Arabidopsis thaliana: one gene and its partners. The protein of the gene in region 3 interacts with the protein of the main gene of each other region in a pairwise test. Each region holds a gene or a part of one and is shown on either strand. Other genes may lie near its edges. The genes, in order: ROF1, HSFA2 and HSP90.1.

The links.
Region 1: the proteins of HSP90.1 (region 3) and ROF1 interact in binary tests that used the Arabidopsis thaliana proteins (3 or more experiments, as listed by UniProt).
Region 2: the proteins of HSP90.1 (region 3) and HSFA2 interact in a protein complementation assay, tested with the Arabidopsis thaliana proteins (one study listed by BioGRID).

The regions. Positions count from the first base shown.
Region 1 is NC_003074.8:9,186,208-9,189,960, reverse strand, and holds the start of ROF1 (rotamase FKBP 1), read right to left. Parts: upstream 1,781-3,753; 5' UTR 1,705-1,780; coding exon 1,521-1,704; intron 1,437-1,520; coding exon 1,350-1,436; intron 1,168-1,349; coding exon 907-1,167; intron 819-906; coding exon 744-818; intron 652-743; coding exon 571-651; intron 482-570; coding exon 287-481; intron 203-286; coding exon 110-202; intron 1-109. UniProt on the Arabidopsis thaliana protein: PPIases accelerate the folding of proteins. It catalyzes the cis-trans isomerization of proline imidic peptide bonds in oligopeptides.
Region 2 is NC_003071.7:11,133,938-11,137,690, reverse strand, and holds the start of HSFA2 (heat shock transcription factor A2), read right to left. Parts: upstream 2,068-3,753; 5' UTR 1,836-2,067; coding exon 1,527-1,835; intron 1,446-1,526; coding exon of another isoform or gene 1,415-1,445; intron 1,203-1,414; coding exon 474-1,202; 3' UTR 1-473. Other genes in the region: ftsh4 (FTSH protease 4), read left to right, coding at 2,565-2,591, 3,019-3,106, 3,188-3,460, 3,599-3,753. UniProt on the Arabidopsis thaliana protein: Transcriptional activator that specifically binds DNA sequence 5'-AGAAnnTTCT-3' known as heat shock promoter elements (HSE). Seems to be involved in other environmental stress responses.
Region 3 is NC_003076.8:21,350,863-21,354,615, reverse strand, and holds the start of HSP90.1 (heat shock-like protein), read right to left. Parts: upstream 2,060-3,753; coding exon 1,937-2,059; intron 1,622-1,936; coding exon 1,480-1,621; intron 1,395-1,479; coding exon 1,114-1,394; intron 1,026-1,113; coding exon 1-1,025. Other genes in the region: MEF1 (mitochondrial RNAediting factor 1), read right to left, coding at 2,475-3,753. UniProt on the Arabidopsis thaliana protein: Functions as a holding molecular chaperone (holdase) which stabilizes unfolding protein intermediates and rapidly releases them in an active form once stress has abated.

The DNA of each region.
Region 1 (3,753 bases), on a different chromosome or scaffold from region 3:
TAAGCATCCAGTAAATGAGTTACCATGACTAAGTAAGCCATGGAAAATCCAGCACATCCAACTATCCAAAGGAAAGTTATCAGAAAAATACTAGGAACTGTGTAGTTACCTTCATCTGTTTTGAACTCAAACGGTTCCTCATTCTCACCATGACCTTTCTTCAAAAATACAGTACCATCTTGAAGTTTCCCTATCAATTTCACTGCCAGAAAGAAACAAATGAAACCCCGTAAGAAACCGTTATATCTGGTGAAGACATGAGTGTACTAAAATCCGAAATGCAAACCTTTCACAACTGCCCCCTCGTTAGGACGCTCATATCCATCCCCTTCCTTCAAGACTTTCTTCACAACCTTGTTATCATCAGTTACTTCTGACACTGTTTTCCACGAAACTAACTCCAAATTGATCTCGAGCGTCGCATTAGGAGGAACCGCGCCTTCACCAGCAGAGGCTGGCTTGCCCTTCTCCCCAAAACCATCTGTCTCATTCAGAAGCACATTGGAATAAGAGATGATATACACACCATACCAGGATCAGTGAAAAAACAATTGAGACAAATCGTCTTACATTGTGGTTTAACTGTCAGAAGGACCTTTTCACCCTTTTTCATAGTTTTCACAGCCTTAGTAAGTGCAGGGCAGAAATGACCTATTAATGATCATAGATCACAAAGAATGTCAAAGAGCGAATACATTATCCAACATATCCCATCATATCTTAAAAGAATTCAGAGCACTAACCATCTTTAACAGTGAACTCCACACCATCAGATTTCCCAACAACAGTACCATCCTCAAGTTTCGCCTCAAACTTAACTGAATTAACAAATACACAGGAAACACCGTTAGCAAAATCAAACACACACCAACCTCTAAAGCAGGCCATAAGAGAGTGAACACACACCAAGAACTTCATCAAGGTCCTTTGGATTCTCCCACTTCTCTCCAACAGCAAGAATCTTCTTAAACACACCACCATCTTTACATATATCCTTCACACTGTCCCATTTAAGCAACTCCACATCAAACTGAAGCGTAGCATTCGCAGGAATAGTTGGCGGGGAACCAGATTCCCCATATGCTAGCTCCGCAGGTATAGTGAAAACAGCGTTTTCACCTTTCTTCATCGTCTTAATACCAATATCCCATCCTTTAATAACTTGACCTGCAAAAACACAATGCCAACAACCACAAACCATTACACATTCATCAACAAAAATTCGATTTTGAACTTAACAACAACTATATCTCAATTCAAGTTCATATCTATCAAATTAGTCTACCGAATTCTCCAGATTACTAACTATACGGAAACTATTAGGTCTTTAGGAGATGAGAATCACAAACCTTGTCCAAGAGTGAATTTGAAAGGCGTTGCTCTATCACGACTCGAATCAAACTTCGTCCCATCAAGCAAAGTTCCAGTGTAATGCACTGCAGAAACAAATCAAGCTCAAGCTTCGATTCAAAAAAACCTAAATCGAAAAGCATTAGTATCTGAATCGATTAATTAATTACCTTCAACTTCATCGCCATTCTCAGGAGTTTCATATCCTTCACCTTCTTTAAGAAGCTTCTTCTTCAAACCTTGTTGGATCTCTTTCTCTTCACCGACTTTAAGAAACGAGGCGCCGTCACCGAAATCCATGTCGTCGTCGTCGTTCATTCCACCGACTGGAGGCATCTCGAAATTAGCATCCATCTTTTTCGATTCAGTTCCAAACAAAAAACGCAAAGAAGAAGAGAAGAAATGGATTGGTGAGATTTATACGAGGTTGGGTTTTGGGTGAAAAAGAAAAAGGGTTCTAGAGAGTTCGTTAAAAAGATGGTTCGAGAACACAGATGATCCGTCACTCGTAAATTTATATTGGGCTTAACTATTCACTTATTTACTTTATAATCGGCAAAATTGTTGGATCAGGCCCAACAAAATTGGTTATCTAGTAAACAACTAAACATGATCCCAAATTATTACCAATGGTAAAAAGTAAAAACTAATCAAGCAAAGCAAAATGGATTATCACAGTACAAATCCAGAACAAATTCAAATCCATTTGTGGTCTTTCAAGATTTTTTGCTTACAAATTATTAAAAATTCTCTAGGTATAGATGGATACGTTGCAAATAAATAAATCTAGAATTGAGTATTAATTATCCCCCTAAATTTTCATAAGTTACAAGCTTGAATTCATTATGTATATATATGAAATTATAATCCATTTGTCATCCTCAATCATATTTTTTTTTTCGTGTTTTGTCTCTTATACACTCACTTTCTTTTAAATCTAATTTACTTTTAATATACTATAACATATATATATATATATATATCACTTTTATTAAATAAAATTGTTTTCTAAAATATCAAAGCTTTGCAATATTGAAGCAATTATTTTTAATATTTTCCATTACAAGATTAACAAAAAAATCTTGAAATTAAAATTATCATCCATCAATCTCAATTCAATTAAAAAAAGCGAAGAGGAAATCAAATCGTGAGAGATATAAAGAAACCGTTTTTCGCAGGAGAATAGAGGAATTGGATTTGTGAGTCTTTCTACATGAGGTTGAGTTTTAGGTTACGGAAGATTCTAGTCTTCTAGAGAACTCCTTAAATCATTTATTCGAAAGGTGATGACAGAGTTAAGTGACAGAAAGGTGGTTCCAGAACACATATGTTCTTTAGGTTCTAACGTCGTTAAAATTTTTTGCAGGATCATATCATATTCATATGTGTTGACTACGTCGGCAATATCTCTACATTGGGTTTTGACTAATAACTATTCATTTTGTTTTTTTTAACTAATGAGCAAAAGTATCATATAATACATATGTGGATCGCGCCCAACAAGGCTAGTTATATAGTAAAGAGATTTCAAATAGGAAAATGAAATTCACAAATCAAGTTGTTTATGCAAAATAAACCATATCAAACACATTTCAAGGAAAAATACGGATTAAATGGTTCAAAAATATATGGTAACAATAGATCAAATAATTTATATCAAAATATTTGGATTTTTTGCAAAACAATCTTCCAATTCGTTAATTTTTGCAAATTTATCTTATATTTCTCAAAATTACAAATCAATTTTATGCAGTAAAAAATAATACACAATATAATTTAATCCTTATATGTATATTCTAAATGTTTTTACTCTAATATACATTATATTCTAAAAAAATTCTAAAGTTAAATTTAGACTCCTCCTTAAGCTAAATATCTACATATACATTTTGCAGCCATTTTGTGAAATAAATCTTGGAGTTGGTACTTATTTACAATAGTTGCCACTGAATTTTAATTATCTGATTTTTCTTTTTAATTAATAGTTTGAATTTTTTAAGGCAATTAATTGTGTAACAAACGAAAAAGATTCGAAATATATATGACAATCCCATATGTCACACAAAACACAAAAGCACTAACTTTAGGGGAATCATATGAAGACATTAAGCATCACTATTTTTGTGATGTTCATTGAAAGATAGCAGAATACCATATGAAGACATATATGGCAATATACCAATAAAAGATAGACTGATAATCCAGAGGAGGAATTTTCATTTCCAACATTGATCGCCACCTACGCTGAGGTCGAGATCACCGAGGGGAACACAACCGACGTAGATCGATATAACCACCACCGTACAAGACTCATTACAAGAAAAAAAAGGAGAAGACATTTCCACCACACTTCCCAACTTTAGCAAAAGATAATGTTTGAACTAGATGGTTAGGTAGGAAAAA
Region 2 (3,753 bases), on a different chromosome or scaffold from region 3:
CAAAAATATCACACAGGCCATTTAGTTCCAATTATGTCCCAAGTAACTAGATCAACAAGTTTGTAAATTTTATGAACTTCAAAATTAAAAGTGTTACATTCAAAGAAATACTTTCTTAGTATCATGACCTCTTTTCTCTAAGAAAGCTTAGCAAAAGTTACTAATTACATAAACTCCTAAATGTTGACCAAAGTGAGTACTAAGATAAGTAGACACGGAGCTTGATACTCTTATCGCAGCTCCATCTCATGCTTCTAAGGTCTGGAGAAGGAAAAACAAACAACCATTAAAATTGTCAAACGAAATCAGAGTTTTTTATTCATCAGAACAAGAAAACACAAATGTACAACAAACCACACTCAATGACTCTTCCTTGAGTCAAAACAAACAAACAAACAATTCAACTAGTAAATAAAAGTGGTAGCATTACCATAACTTAGACCGCAACAAGTAGATGTGTTAATACCGTATAGTTAAGGTTCCGAACCAAGAAAACCCATTTGATCAACCATGTCATGTAGATCTTGGCTGTCCCAATCCAAAGGCGAACCAACCAAATCTTCCACTTTCACATCCAACGCTGCTTCCAAATTACCATCTCTCATCATCACATTCATAGCCTCCAAACATTGTTCCTCCTTAGTAGGCATCGAATTATTCGCCTCATCATCGATTGCTGCAGCGAACAACATTTCCATATCATCCTTCATTCTATCAAACTCTTGATCATGTAACAAATTCTCCTCCATAGTCCCCAAGCTTGGAGTAGAAGTAAGCCTCCGTTTCCTCCCCACATCCAAACCAAACAAACTCTTCTTCTCTTTACTCATAACCGCAAACTGCTGAACAAAGTTCGGATTGTTCAACGCCTTGGCAAGGAACGTCATCATCTGCTGCTGTCTCTTCTCAGTAACAAGCAACCGTTGCTCCATAGCTGCAACTTGACTCTTGGAGCTGTGTTGCTGTTGCCTCAACCTAACTACCTCAGCTACAAGCACACCATGATCCCTCTTCAACCTCTCAACCTCCCCGTCGAAACCGTATTGCCCAACCTCAACACATGACATCCCAGATCCTTGCTGATTCACATTCTGCAAACCCATGTTCCTCCTTCTTTTGATGTTCTTCAAGAGATGCTTTTGTCCTGCTAAAAACCCTTCATTTGCAAATTCCCATCTATCTGGATCAATCTTTCTGAATCCCTGCAATCACCAAAACAAGTTTCATCAGCTACTGAACTTGAGGCAGAGTCCTTACTTATCATTCCAAGATTCTGTTTTTACTACCAAACACATTTTGAACTTCAGAAACAGAGGATTGAACAGAGTTTATGTTAAATGATTCTCTTAACATATGACCAAAATCTCAATGCATCTAATTTCAATTTAGCCACTTAAAAGCTTAAAGAACTAACCTTTATAGCTGAAGACTCATAGGAAACCCATCTAAAGAAATCCAAAATTAAAAATTAGAAACAAAAACAGAAACAAGACTAAGTAGATATAAGGAAGCAAAGAGGTACTTACATAAGTATTGAGCTGACGAATAAAACTTGAGAAATTGCTATGCTTGAAGTAACGTGGAAGGAGAGTTGTTGAGAACTTATGAGAATCCCACACCACAAAGCTGTTACGACCATTACTCCAAGAAACCACCGTGTCCGTCGCCGGATCTTCCACCATTTCGTAAGTCTTAGTCAGAAACGGTGGTGGCCCTGTTTCGTTAAGCCCTTCCATTGGTCTAGGAGAGGAAGAGGATCCTACAGATGAAGAAGCCGCTACAGAACCAGTAAACGTCACCGTTTCTTCCTCCATTTCCACTTTCAGTTCTTCCATTTTCGTTGTTTATCTCAAATCCATAAGCTCAGAGATAAGCTAGATTGTATGAATTTCGTAACTTTCGAGAAACAAAAGTAGATATTTTTGATTTTGTTGCTAAAATTAGAAACTGGGTTTTGGGTAAAGTTTGCGACTTTCTTCAGAAAATGTTGAGTTTTGAGTTGAGAGATTGAGGCGTGGAGGAGAGAGAAATGAAATTATAAGGGGAGAGAAGAGAAGGTTCTAGAGACAAGACAAGATCATTTCACTGTATTGAAGCTTCTTTGACATTTATGTGAGCACGTGGCGACAAGACAAGACAATGTTCCAGAAACTTCGTTACTAATCTAGAATCTCTTTTTTTATATATATATCATATGGGCCTTTACTTAAGCCCATTTCTAACGATGCCAATTTATGTTCTAGGTCCTTCTTTTTAATGTGGGCCGCCAGAAAAAGCCTACTAAAATGAATTATTGGGTATGTCCAAGGGTATTTATGTACTTAAGAGGCGACCTACATATCTCGTGCGTGTCTCCACCTGCTGCACAATTTTTCTCTCACCCGATAACCAAACAGGTCTCTCACGTGTAATTTAGTGTTTTTAAGACTTTAGGGAATAAGATTAGAACGGTTCTTCCCCAAACACAACGAAGAAGTCTTTTGTTTCCGATATAGATCGAGGAACTTCGATTTATCAGACATTAACACCAATTTTTAAGATATCGTGAAGGAGAGATTTGATTGATGGCTTGGAGGCGCATCATCACCAAGGTTTTTGTTTCATTTTTCTCTTTTCCCCTTTATCCAATTTTTAATACGAAAAAGGTTTCGACTTTGGTTTGATACTGTAGTGGATTTGATCTAATTAGATAATAATTTCTGATGGGTTTTATCAAGATCTTTGTGATTCATAAGCTAAAGATGATATTTTTCAAACCCTAGAAGCTCAAATTCTTCTCTGCCCTCAAAATGTTGTCTTTTAGGATTCTAGATTGTCTCTGTGATATTGTCATTTGATTTATTTGACTACCCAAGTCACCTAATTTTGAAATTGGTATAAAAAGTTTCAATTTTTTTGATTCAAAATGGGTAAAAGTATTCACTTTTATCAAAATGTTTTCATGTGTTGTCTAGTGTCATTTTGAGTTTGGGATTAGTAATTAACTTCATCTGTATTGATTCTCTTCACCGATGACAGGTTTCGAGTCATGAAAGGGAATTGAGCAGTTTAAGAAGCTTACTTGTTAGAGCTTACTCCTCTTTTCCTAGAGTGGGAGTTACTGGAGGTAAATTCTGATTCCGTTTATGAGTTGTTCTTGTTGTTTTAGAAGTGTTTTTGATGTAAATTGGTTTTATTTTATCTATAGCTGTGGGTGGTGGTGGAGCTTCTTTACCGCGAACGAGGTTTCAATCGAGTTATGTTGGTAGCTTTGCTCGCAGAGTCCGTGATAGAGAAGAAGTTAATGAGGTTGCACATCTGAGAGAACTTATTCGAAGAAATGATCCTGAGGCTGTTATCAGAATGTTTGAAAGCCAACCTTCTTTGCATGCGAATGCCTCTGCGTTATCGGAATACATTAAGGCATTGGTTAAAGTTGATAGGCTCGATCAAAGTGAGCTGGTTCGAACATTGCAAAGAGGTGGGTAAGGAGGGAGAGACTGTTTGTTTGAATCTGAATGGATACTTGGATTGTGTCCTTGCTTTCATATTTGTATTAGCAGCTTCTGAGCCATTTCTCTATATAATATTGGGAAATGTTTTGCTGTTTTTCTTTTAGGTATTGCTGGTGTTGCAAGGGAGGAAGAGACTTTTGGAGGTCTTGGGGCATTTAGAAACGTAGGAAAACCAACAAAAGATGGTGTCCTTGGAACTGCTAGTGCACCGATCCATACGATATCCACAGAAAGGACTCACTTTAAAGAACAGCTATGG
Region 3 (3,753 bases):
TCAAGTTTGAGGCCTTCTTTAGTCGCAGAAACAAGTTTCTTACCGTCATACTCCTTCAATTGTCCAACAGCGTATTCGTCAATCGCATCCACCATGTAAAGTACCTCGTATCCTCTCTTCTTCAGCCTCTCCAAGAAGGGAGAATTCTCCACCGCCTTTTTGCTTTCACCAGTGATGTAGAAAATGTCCTTTTGACCTTCCTTCATCCTTGTGACGTAATCTTTGAAGCTCGTCATTTCATCACCACTCTTTGTGGAGTGGTACCGTAGAAGATCAGCAATCTTTCCCCTGTTCTGACTGTCTTCATGGATACCCAATTTGAGATTCTTGGAGAAAGCCTCATAGAATTTGGTGTAGTCCTCTTTGTTCTCAGCAATCTCGTTGAACATCTCAATGCACTTCTTCACTAGATTCTTCCTGATCACCTTAAGGATCTTGTTCTGTTGAAGCGTCTCACGAGAGATGTTGAGTGGCAAGTCATCAGAGTCAACAACACCTTTCACAAAGCTGAGGTACTCTGGGATTAGCTCTTCACAGTTGTCCATAATGAACACCCTCCTGACATAAAGCTTGATGTTGTTCAACTTCTTCCTCGTGTCAAAGAGATCAAACGGAGCTCTCTTTGGTACAAAGAGAATGGCCTTGAATTCTAGCTGACCCTCCACTGAGAAGTGTTTCACGGCTAAGTGATCTTCCCAGTCATTGGTCAAGCTCTTGTAGAAAGCAGCATACTCTTCCTTAGTGATCTCTTCTGGCTTCCTCAACCAGATCGGTTTCTGCTTGTTGATGAGTTCCCACTCGTGAGAGACTTCCTTGATTTTCTTCTTCTTTTTACCATCTTTCTCCTTCTCCTCATCAACTTCTTCAACCTCACCTTCGTTTTCTTTCTTTGGTTCATCTTCATCCTCATCGTCACTGATCTCCTTCTCGGTGGTTTTCTCGGTCCAAAGGTAGATAGGGTAACTGATGAACTCAGAGTGCTTCTTCACCAAGTCTTTGAGTCTCCTCTCCTCCAAGTATTCAAGCTGCATGAATAAACACACTTGTAAGAACACAGAAAACACCAAAAGAAAAGAAACAATCCCCAAAACACTCAAAGCTACGATTCCTTACCTGATCGTCCTTAAGGAAGAGGGTGATCTTAGTTCCTCTACCAAGTGGTTCCCCATCCACATCCCTAGTGACAGTGAAGGAACCACCAGCTTGAGACTCCCAAACGTATTGTTCATCATCATTGTGCTTTGTAGTGACAACAACCTTCTCTGCAACAAGATAAGCAGAGTAGAAACCAACACCAAATTGTCCTATCATGCTTACATCAGCTCCAGCTTGAAGCGCCTCCATAAACTCTTTTGTTCCAGACCTCGCAATGGTTCCCAAGTTGTTCACCAAATCTGAAAAAATAATAGAGAGTCATAACCACAGCACATACACTAAAACATCTCACCAACGAGAGATTATTAGGCATTGATTCGTTACCTGCTTTGGTCATGCCAATACCACTGTCAATAATTGAGAGCGTCTTATTAGACTTGTCAGGAACCAATCTAATGAAGAGTTCAGGCTGTCCATCGAGCTTGCTCTTATCCGTTAAGCTCTCAAATCGGATCTTGTCAAGAGCCTACAAAACCATTCATATAAACAAAGATAATCAGAAGCTTTCCTCAATCCTCTAGGGTAAATCAAAGACTACATCGAAGCAAGAACCGTTCTATATATGTAACTACAACACATGAAGATCGAGCACAAGCTAAGAATTCTAAACTTAACGTGATGCACAAGCCAAATCACGATTTATTTGAATAAGCAATCACAACGCTAAACCTACGAATCCAACGCTATCAACGAATCCAGGAATTAAAGAACAAACAACATGCAAGAAAATAGGAAGCGGACGAGTCACACCGAGCAGAGAGAGATTTGAAGGGAAACTTACATCAGAAGAGTTACTGATGAGCTCACGGAGGAAGATTTCTTTGTTGCTGTAGAACGTGTTGATGATCAAGCTAAGAAGCTGGTTAATCTCAGCTTGGAAAGCAAAAGTCTCTGCATCAGCCATCTGAACATCCGCCATCGCAACGAACTTTGATTCAACGCAAACGAGAAACGAAAGAGAATGCTAAGAGAAAATTTGGAACTTCGAGAGCGTTTCGAGAGATTTGTGATTGTTTTGTTGATTTATGAAGAAGAGAGGAAAAAACAAAGTGATTTTATAGAGGAGAAATAAAGTTCTAGTCTCTTCTTTTGAAATAAAGGAAAACCAGTGATTTCTGGATTGTTCTTTGAAAACGACGCCGTATTTCGATGAAATCAACCGTTTTTAGCTTTGTGAGCAAACGAATTCCAGAAAGTTCTTTTCGTTTCGAGACTCCACTTGTTTCAATTCCGAATAGGTCTGGCAAAGAAATTTCGCCGGTTCAGTGTGAACTGAATGAAATTATGGTTAAATATAAACCAACTCTCATTTGTCTTCTTCACCAATAGTCATTACAAGAACACTTGCCATCTTCAAACCGATGAAACCGATTATTATCTCTCACAATGATCACTCGTCTCGTACATACGGACATGAACTTGATCGCGTTATGGCAATCACCGCAAACACGCAGATTCTTCATTACTCGGATCGGTCTATCAGCTGGAAACGTGATCAGTCCAAAAGCAATAGCTAATCTCTCACTATGATACCTTATGGTTTGATTCTTCTCGTCACCATCCACTTCTCTCAGAACATAGCTTGTGTCTGCAATGTAACCCGCTTTCTCCATCTCTTCCCCTAACTCAGCCAGCTTCTCATATATCTCCTTGCTTTTCTCATGACGTCTTTCTCCAGCTGCAAATGTATGAACCTTGTTCCTTTCTTCAACCCAACTTAGCCCTGTTTCCTTCTTTTCCCCTCGGTCTCGAAGCAATTTTCTAGCTTTAGCTGCGTCTTCGAATCTACCATCGGCTGCATAAGCATTGGATAACGAAATGTGCATACCGGAACTCACTGGTCCTAATTCGAAGACCTTGTCTGCTGCAAATGCTGCAAGCTCTGTGTTCTTGTGGACTGTACAACTCGTTAATAAAGCTCCCCATACAGATTCCGTGGGATCAATCGGCATATTAGTGATAACTTCAAGTGCTTCTTGTAATCTACCAGCTCGTCCTAACATATCCACCAAGGAAGCGTAATGCTTATCCGTCGGCTCAATCCTCGATTCTTTCATCTGATCAAAGTAGTATCTCCCTTCATCAACTAGACCCGCGTGACTACAAGCATTGAGCACATTCAAAAAAGTTATGAAATTTGGTTTCATTCCAGAAAGCTTCATCCTTTTGAACAATTCAATAACCTTTTGAGTATGTGAATGTTGCGCATACGCCTTGAGCATAGCGTTCCAAATCCCGAGATTCTTCACAGGCACCTCGTTAAAAACTTGATAAGCTCCTTCAGGAACACCACACTTTGAATACAACGAGACTAAAGAACTTCCCACAAAGCTAGAAGAATCAAAGCTAGACTTAATACTCAATCCATGAATCTGTCTACCTAACTCAAGTAGAGTCGAATTTGCACAAACACTAATAACACTCGAAAACGAGTAATCATTAACAGCGAGATTCTCAAACAAAGCTTCTTTAAACAACCACAAAGCTTCCTCATTTTCACCCATTTGTGCATACCCATACATCATCCCACTCCAAGTAACAACATTTCTCTGAGGCATTTCGTCGAACATCTTCCTCGCATAAACAATTTCTCCACAT